Linked DNA regions of Stegostoma tigrinum. The protein of the gene in region 1 interacts with the protein of each later gene in a pairwise test. Links are inferred from orthologs where the notes say so. Each region holds a gene or a part of one and is shown in the gene's direction. Other genes may lie near its edges.

Region 1 (7,545 bases):
CAGGAGATTTCAGGAACTGATGTGATGTGGAAGGGTAATCTGTTGAAGCCAGACCTCCCAAACAATGTAATGGATATTGTGAATGATGTGGACTTTTCATGGATGGGCTGTTGCCAAACCTCATCATGATGTTATGTAGGCCCTCTGCTTCTTTGGGGGGTCCTAAGGGTAGTAGGGGAGGTGATGGCTTAATGGTATCATTGCTGGACTGTTAACTCAGGGATCCAGGTAGTGTTCTTGGGACTTGGGATTGAATCCCACCATGGCAGATATTGGAATTTGAATTCAATAAAAATCTGAAATTAAGAGTCTAATGCTGACTATAAAACCATTTTCAATTGTTGGAAAAAATCCATCAGATTTACTAATGTCTTTCAGAGAAGGAAATCTGCTTTTCCTATCTGGTCTGGTGTACATATGACTCCAGGCCCACAGCAATGTGGTTGACTTTTAACCGCCCTCTGGGCAATTGTGAGTGGGCAATGAATGTTGGCCTAGTTAGTGATGTCCTGTGAATGAAATAAAATGATTCCAAAAATCTCTCTTTGCATCTAGCTTCATGAAGGTTGAACTGTTTCCCAGTTTACCTAAGCTTTCATCCAGACAACAAGACACAAATTTCAATTTTAATAACTTTGTTCAGTAATGCAAGATCTGTCAAATTCTGATAGATCAGTTGAATTTTGGCACTGGGAGCATCCCCAAGCATCAGTTTGTTGGTTCTGTCACAAGTAATAGAATCAAATTCCTTTTTTTAAGCTTTGGGAAGAGTGCATGAGGAACCTTTTTGGGAGTAAATAAACACACTTGCTTTATCTTGGGAATATAATGTGATGTTTCCATGTTGAATTGCTGGTTTTTGAATAAAACACAAACATAAATGTCTGCTAAAGGGAAGTTCCTTGCAATCTGATTTTTTATGTTACGGTTTTAATGTTGAGCTGTATGCATGACTAGACTTACAATAGTAAACGGAGCACTGATTTCCAAATAAATTTACAATTTGCGTATAAACTGCCATTGTGATTTCCCAGAACTTACAACTAGTTTAAAATTTAATGTAATGTTGATGTGATGTCACAGGTGCAATTCTGCATGCACAGATCATCAACGTATCAGAGAAAGACTTGTAGATGAGGACCTGAGTAGGACAGGAACAAGGAACGTTTCAAAAACCCCACAGAGAGACAGGCACAGCTGGGACGTATGTCGGTACGTACACCTACACGTTTGACTTGGAGAAAGTGAGATGAGTTAATGAATAAGTTGTTTAAATTGAGAACAAGCCCAGCCAGGCCAAGGAAGTTGGTGATGGACAGGGACTGTTCAAGCCTGTTTTCAAGGAAGTATCAGAGAACCTTCAGACCATCCTAATGGGGGCTGGACATTCACAGTGATTACGTGTTCATAATGAAGAAACAATGAGTAAGGCCAGAAATGTGACAATTGTGGAACTGACATAAAGTATGAAAAGAATCAGGAATGTATGTGGGAAGAGAATGAACAAAGGGCGAAAGATAGGCTAACTTTCCTATTATGTAATTTGGACCAGATTTGCTGTTACCTTGCTGAGTTTTGTTGTTTTCTCTAAGCTTATTTTTGAGTCTGAATTATCATTGTGCTTTTATTATTCTTGTAGTGAATTGAACTATGTTAAGGGCATAGGAATAAGATTACAGAGGTAGGCCATTCATTCTCTTGAGTTTGCTCCACCATTCTAGATTATAGCTAGTCAATGTTATTTTCTCATGTAATCACTATTTCCCAATTATTCTCCTAATCTCTCAACTGTATTTTCCTTCCATGCAAGATGGTGAATGGTGCTGACAGTGGACAACTCCTTGTGAGTTCCAATAGCAGATCTAACTCTAACATTTCTTATAATCGCTCTACACTTTTAAACTTAAACACTAAATCAAGTAATGTAACCTGCATGCCTCTAAATCTTTTTGATCTGTACATCCTTTGCTTGCTGTGATCTGCCTGTACCGCTCACTTATTTCGGTACATGTGACAATAAAATCAATCAATCAAACATTTTCACTGTTTGGTGGCCTGTAATGCATGTCAAGGATTGCATTACTTCTTTGTATACCTTAATTTTCTTATTAAATTTATCTTAACACCACTCATAATCTTTAAATTCCAGTCCTTTAATATAATCCTATACAAACCCTACTGGCTTGTTTTCCATCTTGTCTCATGAAAATGTTATATTCAGGCATGTTAAATCCTCAGTTCTGTTCAAACCCAAACCACATCTCCATTATTGGTATTATACTGCCCTCCATAGTATAAATATTTATTAAGTCATACCGCATGGAAACAGACCATTTGGTTCAACTCATCCTTACTGACCAAGCTTCCCAAATGACACTAGTCCCTCATGCCTGTGTTTGGCCCATATGCTTCTAAATCATGCCTACTCTTGTACCTGTACATATGTCTTTTTAAATGTAACTGCACCTGCATCCACCACTTCGTCTGGCAGTTCCACATACAAACCACCCTCTGAGTGAAACAGTGGCCCTCAGGTCCTTTTTAAATCACCTCTCACCTTAAAATTATGCCCTCTAGTTTTGAACTCCCCTACCCTAGGGAAAAGACCTTTACTTTCACGTTATCTATGCCCCTCACGATTTTATACTTGTAACTCTGTAGTATTGTTTTGAGCATTTGGTTCATTTTCGTTCATTGTATCCAATTCATACTTCAATTATTTTGGAATTTGATTAGAATTGACTCGAAATCACCATACATTCAGCTGAAAATAAAGTTTTGATGAGTCCCACCGATCTGGTTACCTGGTGTAATTGACAAATTGGAATGTATGAGGTTGTATATATGCCTGCCAAGCTGGTGGATTTGGAGAAAACTGAAGGAACTGAATAGCCTACCTCTATAATCTTATTCCTATTCCCCTAACATAGCTTAGTTCACTGCCAGAATGAGAAAAACATAATGATAATTCAGACTCAAAAATAAGCTTATAGAAAATGAACAGACTCACTAATCACCCTACAGTATATCAAGGGCATTTCAGAGAGGACCATAAGACTACTCAGACTCCTGGGTATCAGAGTAATCCACAAACTCACATCACCCTACCACAGCTACTGACAAAGGTAAAGGATTCCATACCCAAAACCAACAAAACTGGTGTAATATACAAAATACCTTGCAAGGATGTGTGAGAAATACCACATAGGCCAAACTGGAAGAAAACTGACAATACGGATACACAAACACTAACTAGCCACCAAGAGACACAAAAAAATTTTCACTTGTCTCAATACACACAGACAAGGAATGACACGATATTGACTGGGACAACGCATCCATTATCGTACAAGCCAAACAGAGACACGCTAGGGAATTCCTGCAGTCCTGGTCTTCCAACTGGAACTCCATCAACAAACACATTGAATTAGACCCTGTGTACAAACCACTGAGAAACAGAACCAGAAGTAATACCAACATCCCAGCAAACCGATTCATATAAATAACAAGCGGGACAGAACACTGATGCTTAACTAGAGGCGCACTGACGATGTTACTGAGCAGGGTGACAAAATGTCTGCAACCAAACCCACCGGCTCAGCAAGCATGTCTTTAACCTCACACAACCCTCATCACCAGTCTTCTTGAAAACTTTAATTGGAACACATTTTTGTAAACAATTTCCCCTTTGAAAATGTACCTTAAGATGTTTGGGGGAAATTTGAGATAACGATTTCAAAAAGCTTTGAGTGATCAGAATTACCAAAATAAATAAAAACATTTCAATGATAGAAATTGGGAAACATCCCATAAACAGCAGGTCAACTCTTATCCATTGTATTAGAGATAATGGGAACTGCAGATGCTGGAGAATTTGAGATAACAAAGTGTGGAGCTGGATGAACACAGCAGGCTAAGCAGCATCTTAGGAACACAAAAGTTGACATTTCGGGCCTAGACCCTTCAACAGAGTGCTCCTAAGATGCTGCTTAGCCTGCTGTGTTCATCCAGCTCCACACTTTGTTATCTCTTATTCATTGTACTTTGTGTAAAGATGCATGCCATTTGAAGGAAATACAACGAATTTATTCAACTGTTCAGGTCTCTACAGGTACCATTTTGTTTTTTTCAAATTAGCAGCTGTGTGAACTGCTTCATTTGTGAGTGATTATCCAACAGCTCGCATTAAATAAGAGAGCGATTCAGACCTAAGGTTAGCTGGGACTGCTGTGTTCATCCAGTCTCACATTTTATTATCTTAGCAACCTCTTGCTGGCTTTAATGTTATTTCCTATGGGTGGGGTAATGGGGTAAAATAACTTCTCCTTTTATCAAAAAAACCAGTTTGACAGTATTTTTCACTTCTTTACTCTCTTTTGCCCCGTTTTGCTAACAAAAAGCACATGACGAATCACAAGGCCCGTCTCCGTTGCTATAGGAACAGGCCGTACACTATCGCACAAGGAGCGTCAGCGACGGCGGGGATTGTTAAACATCCTCTTGTAGCCTCGCTGTTGCTGATATGCACGAGTGCCGATTTTCTGCAGGTCTTTCCGATAACGAGTTGCCAAGGGTTTTCGAGTGAAAACGGGTCCATTTCCATTAAACTCGTCTTGTGAAAGACAGGTAAAGAGACCCAGTCTCGGCCTCTCCTCCTTCAGCCGGGAGTGTGCAACGCTTTGCCTCCTTCTCACAAGTTAAATTCTTCCATAGCTGTTTTTTGTTATAAAAGAATATGCCATTTCTGAGGCCTCGGAAGCCCAAAGAAAATCGGTGGCATGAGTGGGATCGAATTGCACAGAAAAACGGTTTAAAAAGCACCGTCTACTCATTAGGCGGGGACGAGTATACAGGAGAGTGGCTGGACAATAAAAAACATGGTAAGACTTTTTTTTTAAGTACAGTGCATCATTTTACAAGATATAACTTCTGAAAACAGAGTTAAAAACATGGCTCAGATTGGCTTTAAGCATGAACTTCATGTCCTGCGCTACTCAAAAGTAATGACAGTAGACCAAACCATGAGTTTAGAATGCATGCGACACATAAAAAGACCATTCAGCCTATCATATCCACAATAGCAGCTCGGCTTTTTATATTTTTATATTGCTGTTGTTTGCTCTTCAAGTGTATTCATTCACATTTCTGTGCAACCAGTTTCATCTGCCACTTGTTAGCCCACTTCACCAGCCCTTCTCTATGTCCTTTTGAATTCTGTTATAATTCACAATACTTCCAGGCTTTTTGTTGTGTACAAATTTTGAAATTGTGCACTGTACACTTGAGCCTTTGTGATTAACACTTAGCAGGAAAAATAGTCGCAGAAACAGAAGTTGCTGGAAAAGCTCAGCAGGTCTGGCAGCATCTGTGAAGAGAAATCATCGTTAATGTTTCCAGGCTAGTGACCCTTCCTCAGAACTGATGGTAGCTAGAAAAAGGTTGGTTTATATACGGAAGATTGGGTGGGGGAAGGGGGTAAGGAGTAAATGATAAGTAAGGATAGTGCCCAAAGAGAGAGAAGAACAGTTGGACATAAAAATAGTTTAAAAAGACAAGTTGTGAGAGGGATTAAAACTGTTTACAGAGAGATATTGATAGTTTGGGTGGGCAAAAAGTTGGCAAATGAAGTATAATGTGGGAAAACCTGAAGTTCATTTTTGAAGGAAGAACAAAAGAACAGCGTTATTTAAATGGGAAAGAAAAACTGCAGAAAGCTGCAACACAAAGGGACTTGGTACATGTGTACAAAATACAGGATGTTAGCAACAGGTAATCAGGAAAGCTAATGGAATCAGAGATAATGGGAACTGCAGATGCTGGAGAATCCAAGATAATAAAATGTGAGGCTGGATGAACACAGCAGGCCAAGCAGCATCTCAGGAGCACAAAAGCTGACATTTCGGGCCTAGACCCTTCATCAGAGAGGGGGATGGGGTGAGGGTTCTGGAATAAATAGGGAGAGAGGGGGAGGCGGACTGAAGAAGGAGAGAAAAGAAGATAGGTGGAGAGAGTATAGGTGGGGAGGTAGGGAGGGGATAGGTCAAGGAGGTGGGATGAGGTTAGTAGGTAGATGGGGGTGCGACTTGGGGTGGGAGGAAGGGATGGGTGAGAGGAAGAACAGGTTAGGGAGGCAGAGACAGGTTGGACTGGTTTTGGGATGCAGTGGGTGGAGGGGAAGAGCTGGGCTGGTTGTGTGGTGCAGTGGGGGGAGGGGACGAACTGGGCTGGTTTAGGGATGTGGTGAGGGAAGGGGAGATTTTGAAACTGGAATGTTGGCTCTTGTTTCAAGAGATTTGGAGAATAAGAATAGGGAAGTCTTACTGGAACTGTGCAAAGTGCCGGTGAGATCACATATGGAGTACAAGGAAATGTTTTTGTTCCCTTCTGGAAAAGTATCATTTAACTGGAGACAGTTCAAAGAAGGTTTACTGGGGTGATCCCTGCTATGGAGGGATTGTCTTCAAAGGCTAGACAGGTTGGGACTTTACTCACTGAAGTTTAGATGAATGAAAGGTGATGTCATTGAACCATATAGGATTCTTAAAGGGTCTGACAAGGTAAATACTGAGATATTTCCCCTCATAGGAGAATCCAGGACCAGAGGGCATAGTCTCAGAATAAAGGGGCACCAATTTTACAGACTGAGATGAGGAATTTCTTCTCTCGGAGGGCTATGAGTCGTTGGAACTCCTTGCCGCAGGGACTTGCAAGGGCAGAGTCCTTGTGTATATTTAAGGCTAAGGTAAAGTTTGTCAGCAGGGGAATCAAGAGTTATGAAAAAACATGTAGGAAAGTAGATGTGAGGAGTGTTGATCAGCCATAATCCTGTTGAATGTCAGTTCCTATTTCCTATGGTCTTATGGCGAATGTAAACTCCTGTTTAAGAAGGGAGGGAAGCAGAAGACAGGAAATTACAGGTCAGTTAGTCTGACCTCAGTTATTGTTAAGACTTTAGAGTCCATGATTATTAAGGATGAAATTGCGGAGTACTCAAAAGTGCATGGTAAAGTAGGGCTGAGCCAGCATGGCTTTGTCAAAGGACATCATGCTGAACAAAAGCAATTTTTTGAGATGGTAACAAGCAAGTTAGACAAAGAAGAGCCAATAGTGTGATCTGTTTGGATTTCCAGAAGGCCTTTGACAAGGTGGCACACAGGAAGCTGCTAAATAAGATAAGAGCCCATGGCGTCTGTGGAAGGCTGCTGGCGTGGATAGAGATTGGCTGACTGAAGAAGGCAAAGGGTGGGGATAAAGGTGGATTTTTCAAAGTGACAGTGGGTGACTTCTGGAGTTCTACAGGGGTCAAAGCTGGAACCACAACTATGCACTTTATACATTAATAATCTGGACAAATGATCTGATGGCATTGTTGCTAATTTTGCAGATGATGCAAAAATAGGTGGAGGGATAAATAGTATTAAGGAAGTGAGAAGGCTGCAGGAGGACTTGGACAGGTTAGGAGAGTGGGCATAGAAGAGGCAGATAGAATACAGTGCAGGAAAGTGTGAAGTTGATCATTTTATTAGGAAGAATTGAGATGTAGAC
Region 2 (7,091 bases), on another chromosome or scaffold:
TGTACATCCATATGCTTGTCCAGGTTGGAGGCTGTGGTTGGGAGGTCCCCTGAGGTTATGAGGTCATGGATAGTAGTGGAGATGATGGTTTGGTGCTCGGGTGTGGGGTCATGATCGAGGGGGCGGTAGGAGGACGTGTCGGTGTATGCGGAGATTGCTGGGGTAGTATGTGAGGACTAGGGGGATACTCTTTTGGCGGTTATTGCGGGGGCGAGGTGTGAGGGATGAAATGCGGGAGACTCGGTCGAGGGCGTTCTTGACCACTGCGGGGGGAAAGTTGCAGTCCTTGAAGAACGAGGACGTCTGGGATGTGCGGGAGTGAAATGCCTCATCCTGGGAGCAGATTCGACGGAGGCAAAGGAATTGGGGATGGAATTTTTGCAGGAACGTGGGTGGGAGTAGGTGTATTCTCACAGCTACCTAGAATACACCTCCTCCCACCCAGCTTCCTGCAAAAATTCCACCCCCTATTCCAAATTCCTTTGCCTCCGTCGCATCTGCTCCCAGGATGAGGCATTTCACTCTGGCACATCCCAGATGTCCTCGTTCTTCAAGGACCGCAAACTCCCCCCTCCCCCGACCCCCCACAATGGTCGAGAATGCCCTTGACCGAGTCTCCCGCATTTTCCCACACCTCATCCCTCACACCTGGCCCCCGCAATAACCGCCAAAAGAGTATCCCCCAGTCCTCACGTATCACTCCACCAATCTCCGCATACAATGCATCATCCTCCGACACTTCCGCCATCTACAATCCGCTCCCACCACTAAAGACATTTTGCCGTCCCCACCCTTGACTGGGTTCCAAAGAGACCACTCTCTCTGGGAATCCCTTGTCCGCTCCACACTCCCCTCCAACCCCACCACACCCGGCACTTTCCCCTGCAACCGAAGGATGTGTTACACTTGCCCCCACACCTCCTCACTCACCCCCATCCCAGGCCCCAAGATGACTTTCCACATCTGGAATGGTTGTTGGAGGTTCCGGGATTTAGATGTTTCAGTAAGAACAGTGAAGATGGTAAAAGGGGCGGAGGTGTGGCATTGTTGGTCAAGGACAGTATTACAGTTGCAGAAACGATGTTTGGGGACTCATCAACTGAGGTAGTAAAGGGCTGAGGTTAGAAACAGGAAAGGAGAGGTCACCCGGTTGGGAGTTTTCTATAGGCCTCCAAATAGTTCCAGATATGTAGAAGAAAGGATAGCAAAGATGATTCTCGACAGGAGTGAGAGAGACAAGGTATTTGTCATGGGGGACTTCAACTTTCCAAATATTGACTGGGAACACTATCGTTCGAGTACTATAGATGGGTCAGTTTTTGTCCAGTGTGTGCAGGAGGGCTTCCTGACACAGTATGTTAGATAGGCCAACAAGGGGCGAAGTCACATTAGATTTGGTACTGGTTAATGAGCCTGGCCAGGTGTTAGATTTGGAAGCAGGTGAGCACTTTGGTGATAGCGATCACAATTCTGTTATGTTTACTTTAGTGATGGAAAGGGATAGGTGTCTACCACTGGGCAAGAGTTATAGCTGGGGGAAAGGCAATTACGATGAGATTAGGCAAGATTGAGGGAGCATAGGATGGGGAAGGAAACTGCAAGGGATGGGCACATTAGAAATGTGGAGCTTGTTCAAGGAAAAGCTCCTGTGTGTCCTAGATAAGTATGTACCTGTCAGGCAGGGAAGAAGCTGCAGAGTGCGGGAGCCGTGGTTTACAAAGGAGGTAGAATCTCTGGTCAAGAGGAAGAAGGCGGCTTATGTTAGGATGAGATGTGAAGCCTCAGTTAGGGCGCTTGAGGGCTACCAGTTAGCCAGGAAAGACCTAAAGAGAGAGCTCAGAAGAGCCAAGAGGAGACATGAGAAGTTGTTGGCGGATAGGATCAGGGTAAACCCGAAGGCTTTCTATAGGTATTTAAGGAAGAAAAGAATGTTGAAAGTAAGATGAAGGCCAATCAAGGATAGTAGTGGGAAGTTGTGTGTGGAGTCAGAGGAGATAGGTGAAGCACAAAATGAATATTTTTCAACAGTATTCACTCGAGAAAACAACAATGTTGTCGAGGAGATTACTGAGATACAGGCTACTAGACTAGGTGGGGTTGAGTTTCACAAGGAAGAGGTATTAGAAATCCTACAGAGGGTGAAGATAGATAAGTCCCCTGGGAAGGATGGGATTTATCCTCGGATCCTCTGGGAAGCCAGGGAGGAGATTGCCGAGCCTTTGGCATTGATCTTTACCTCGTCATTGGAATAGTGCCAGATGACTGGAGGATAGCAAATGTGGTTCCCCTGTTCAAGAAGGGGAATAGAGACAACTCTGGTAATGATACATCAGTGAGGGTTAGATAGGGTGGATAGGGAGAGCCTTTTTCCTCAGATGGTGACGGCGAGCACGAGGGGGCATAGCTTTAAATTGAGGGGTGAGAGATATACAACAGATGTCAGAGGTAGTTTCTTTACTCAGAGGGTAGTAAGGGAATGGAATGCTTTGCCAGCAACGGTAGTAGATTCGCCAACTTTAGGTACATTTAAGTCGTCATTGGATAAGCATATGGACGAACATGGAATAGTGTCGTCTAGATGGGCTTCAGATCGGTATGGCAGGTCCACACAACATTGAGGGCCGAAGGACCTGTACTGTGCTGTAATGTTCTATGTTCTATCAAGCAGATGTTCACCTGCACAACTGGCAATATGGTATACTGCATCTGCTGTACCCGTTGTGGCTACCTCTACATTGGGGAAACCAAGCGGATGCTTGGGGACCAGAAATAATGGGAACTGCAATTGCTGGAGAATCTAAGATAACAAAGTGTGAAGCTGGATGAACACAGCAGGCCAAGCAGCATCTTAGGAGCACAAAAGCTGTTGTGAAGGGTCTAGGCCCGAAATGTCAGCTTTTGTGCTCCTAAGATGCTGCTTGGCCTGCTGTGTTCATTCAACTGCACACTTTGTTATCGTGGTTGCTTGGGGACCGCTTTGCAGAACACCTCCGCTCGGTTCACAATAAACAACTGAACCGCCCAGTCACGAACCATTTCCACTCCCCCTCCCATTCTTTAGATTACATGTCCATCATGGGCCCCCTGCAGTGCCACAATGATGCCACCCGAAGGTTGCAGGAACAGCAACTCATATTCCGCCTGGGAACCCTGCAGCCATATGGTATCAATGTGGACTTCACCAGCTTCAAAATCTCCCCTTCCCCCACTGCATCCCTAAACCAGCCCAGTTCATCCCCTCCCCCCACTGCACCACACAACCAGCCCAGCTCTTCCCCTCCACCCACTGCATCCCAAAACCAGTCCAACCTGTCTCTGCCTCCCTAACCTGTTCTTCCTCTCACCCATCCCTTCCTCCCACCCCAAGCCGCACCCCCAGCTACCTACTAACCTCATCCCACCTCCTTGACCTGTCCGTCTTCCCTGGACTGACCTATCCCCTCCCTACCTCCCCACCTATACTCTCCTCTCCACCTATCTTCTTTTCACTCCATCTTCGGTCCGTCTCTCCCTAATTATTCCAGAACCCTCTCCCATCCCCCTTTTCTGATGGAGGGTCTAAGCCCGAAACATCAGCTTTTGTGCTCCTGAGATGCTGCTTGGCCTGCTGTGTTCATCCAGCCCCACACTTTATTATCTTGGAATTCTCCAGCATCTGCAGTTCCCCTTATGTCTGTGATACTCAGAGGTCCGTGTGCCCGCCCCTTAGGATACAGAGCCCGCCTCCTGAAACTCGGGCTGCTAACACTTGATGAAGAAGCCCGGATCTGAAAGTTTTCAAATTAACCTGTTGACTGTAATTTGGTGCGGTGTGATTATTCACCGAGTCATCGCCGGCACTTCCGCATTGGTCCCGGCCGCTTTAGGCCACGTGACCGCGCGCGGGCTGGAGGTGTGGCAGGAGCGTTGTCATGGTTTCGGTACACAGAGCAACGGTCCGAGTGTGAGGGTCACAGAGGGAGAGGGAGAGGGGACAGTGTGAGGGTCACAGAGAGAGAGAGGACAGTGTGAGGGTCACAGAGAGAGAGAGGACAGTGTGAGGGTCACAGAGAGAGAGAGAGAGAGAGGACAGTGTGAGGGTCACAGAGAGATAGAGGACAGAGAGAGGGAGGACAGTGTGAGGGTCACAGAGAGAGAGAGGACAGTGTGAGGGTCACAGAGAGTGAGGGGGAGAGGACAGTGTGAGGGTCACAGAGAGAGAGAGGACAGTGTGAGGGTCACAGAGAGAGAGAGGACAGTGTGAGGGTCACAGAGAGTGAGGGGGAGAGGACAGTGTGAGGGTCACAGAGAGAGGGAGAGGGAACAGTGTGAGGGTCACAGAGAGAGAGAGGACAGTGTGAGGGTCACAGAGAGTGAGGGGGAGAGGACAGTGTGAGGGTCACAGAGAGGGAGAGAGGACAGTGTGAGGGTCACAGAGAGAGGAAGAGAGGGAGGACAGTGTGAGGGTCACAGAGAGAGAGGGAGGACAGTGTGAGGATCACAGAGAGAGAGAGAGAGGGAGGACGGTGTGAGGGTCACAGAGAGAGAGTGAGAGAGGGAGGACAGTGTGAGGGTCACAGAGAGAGAGAGGACAGTGTGAGGGTCACAGAGAGAGAGAGGGAGGACAGTGTGAGGGTCACAGTGAGAGAGGGAGAGAGAGGGAACAGTGTGAGGGTCACAGAGAGAGAGAGAGGACAGTGTGAGGGTCACAGAGAGAGAGGGAGAGGGGACAGTGTGAGGGTCACAGAGAGAGAGAGAGAGAGAGGGTCACAGTGAGAGAGGGAGGACAGTGTGAGGGTCACAGAGAGAGAGAGGACAGTGTGAGGGTCACAGTGAGAGAGGGAGGACAGTGTGAGGGTCACAGAGAGAGAGAGGAGAGTGTGAGGGTCACAGAGAGAGAGAGAGGACAGTGTGAGGGTCACAGTGAGAGAGGGAGGACAGTGTGAGGGTCACAGAGAGAGAGAGAGGGAGGACAGTGTGAGGGTCACAGAGAGAGAGAGGACAGTGTGTGGGTCACAGAGAGAGAGAGAGAGAGAGGACAGTGTGAGGGTCACAGAGAGATAGAGGACAGTGTGAGGGTCACAGAGAGAGGGAGGACAGTGTGAGGGTCACAGAGAGAGAGAGGACAGTGTGAGGGTCACAGAGAGAGAGAGAGAGAGAGGGGACAGTGTGAGGGTCACAGAGAGAGAGAGAGAGAGGGAGAGGACAGTGTGAGGGTCACAGAGAGAGGGAGGACAGTGTGAGGGTCACAGAGAGAGAGAGAGACAGAGGACAGTGTGAGGGTCACAGAGAGAGAGAGAGGACAGTGTGAGGGTCACAGTGAGAGAGGGAGGACAGTGTGAGGGTCAGAGAGAGAGGGAGAGGACAGTGTGAGGGTCACAGAGAGAGAGAGAGGACAGTGTGAGGGTCACAGAGAGAGAGAGAGAGGACAGTGTGCGGGTCACAGAGAGAGAGAGAGGGAGAGGACAGTGTGAGGGTCACAGAGAGAGTGTGAGAGCGAGAGGACGGTGTGAGGGTCATAGAGAGAGTGTGAGAGAGGGAGGACAGTGTGAGGGTCACAGAGAGAGGGAGGACAGAGTGAGGGTCACAGAGAGAGAGGGGACAGTGTGAGGGTCACAGAGAGAGATAGAGAGAGAGGGAGGACAGTGTGAGGGTCACAGAGAGAGAGAGAGGGAGGACAGTGTGAGGGTCACAGAGAGAGAGAGAGAGGGAGGACAGTGTGAGGGTCACAGAGAGAGAGAGGACAGTGTGAGGGTCACAGAGAGAGGGAGAGAACAGTGTGAGGGTCACAGAGAGAGAGAGAGGGAGGACAGTGTGAGGGTCACAGAGAGAGAGAGGACAGTGTGAGGGTCACAGAGAGTGAGGGGGAGAGGACAGTGTGAGGGTCACAGAGAGAGAGAGGACAGTGTGAGGGTCACAGAGAGTGAGGGGGAGAGGACAGTGTGAGGGTCACAGAGTGGGAGAGAGGACAGTGTGAGGGTCACAGAGAGAGGAAGAGAGGGAGGACAGTGTGAGGGTCACAGAGAGAGAGGGAGGACAGTGTGAGGGTCACAGAGAGAGAGAGAGGGAGGACGGTGTGAGGGTCACAGAGAGAGAGTGAGAGAGGGAGGACAGTGTGAGGGTCACAGAGAGAGAGAGAGAGGACAGTGTGAGGGTCACAGAGAGAGAGAGGACAGTGTGAGGGTCACAGAGAGAGAGAGAGGGAGAGGACAGTGTGAGGGTCACAGAGAGAGTGTGAGAGCGAGAGGACGGTGTGAGGGTCATAGAGAGAGTGTGAGAGAGGGAGGACAGTGTGAGGGTCACAGAGAGAGGGAGGACAGTGTGAGGGTCACAGAGAGAGAGGGGACAGTGTGAGGGTCACAGAGAGAGATAGAGAGAGAGGGAGGACAGTGTGAGGGTCACACAGAGAGAGAGAGGGAGGACAGTGTGAGGGTCACAGAGAGAGAGAGGACAGTGTGAGGGTCACAGAGAGAGAGAGGACAGTGTGAGGGTCACAGAGAGAGGGAGAGAACAGTGTGAGGGTCACAGAGAGAGAGAGAGGGAGGACAGTGTGAGGGTCACAGAGAGAGAGAGGACAGTGTGAGGGTCACAGAGAGTGAGGGGGAGAGGACAGTGTGAGGGTCACAGAGAGAGAGAGGACAGTGTGAGGGTCACAGAGAGTGAGGGGGAGTGGACAGTGTGAGGGTCACAGAGTGGGAGAGAGGACAGTGTGAGGGTCACAGAGAGAGGAAGAGAGGGAGGACAGTGTGAGGGTCACAGAGAGAGAGGGAGGACAGTGTGAGGGTCACAGAGAGAGAGAGAGGGAGGACGGTGTGAGGGTCACAGAGAGAGAGTGAGAGAGGGAGGACAGTGTGAGGGTCACAGAGAGAGAGAGGACAGTGTGAGGGTCACAGAGAGAGAGAGAGAGGACAGTGTGAGGGTCACAGAGAGAGAGAGAGACGGGGAGAGGACAGTGTGAGGGTCACAGAGAGAGAGAGAGAGGACAGTGTGAGGGTCACAGAGAGAGAGAGAGAGGACAGTGTGAGGGTCACAGAGAGAGAGAGAGGACAGTGTGAGGGTCACAGAGAGAGAGTGAGAGAGGGAGGACAGTGTGAGGGTCACAGAGAGAGAGT

The links.
Region 2: the proteins of morn3 (region 1) and rsph1 interact in binary tests that used the Homo sapiens proteins (3 or more experiments, as listed by UniProt). The two-hybrid records come from large-scale screens. The link is inferred for Stegostoma tigrinum from reciprocal best matches to the Homo sapiens genes MORN3 and RSPH1.

Annotation. Positions count from the first base shown.
Region 1 is NC_081379.1:25,093,851-25,101,395, reverse strand, and holds the start of morn3 (MORN repeat-containing protein 3), read left to right. Parts: upstream 1-4,458; 5' UTR 4,459-4,626; exon of another isoform or gene 4,627-4,732; 5' UTR 4,733-4,735; coding exon 4,736-4,880; intron 4,881-7,545. UniProt on the Homo sapiens protein: Assembles a suppression complex (suppresome) by tethering SIRT1 and MDM2 to regulate composite modifications of p53/TP53.
Region 2 is NC_081365.1:1,201,232-1,208,322, forward strand, and holds the start of rsph1 (radial spoke head 1 homolog), read left to right. Parts: upstream 1-3,906; 5' UTR 3,907-7,091.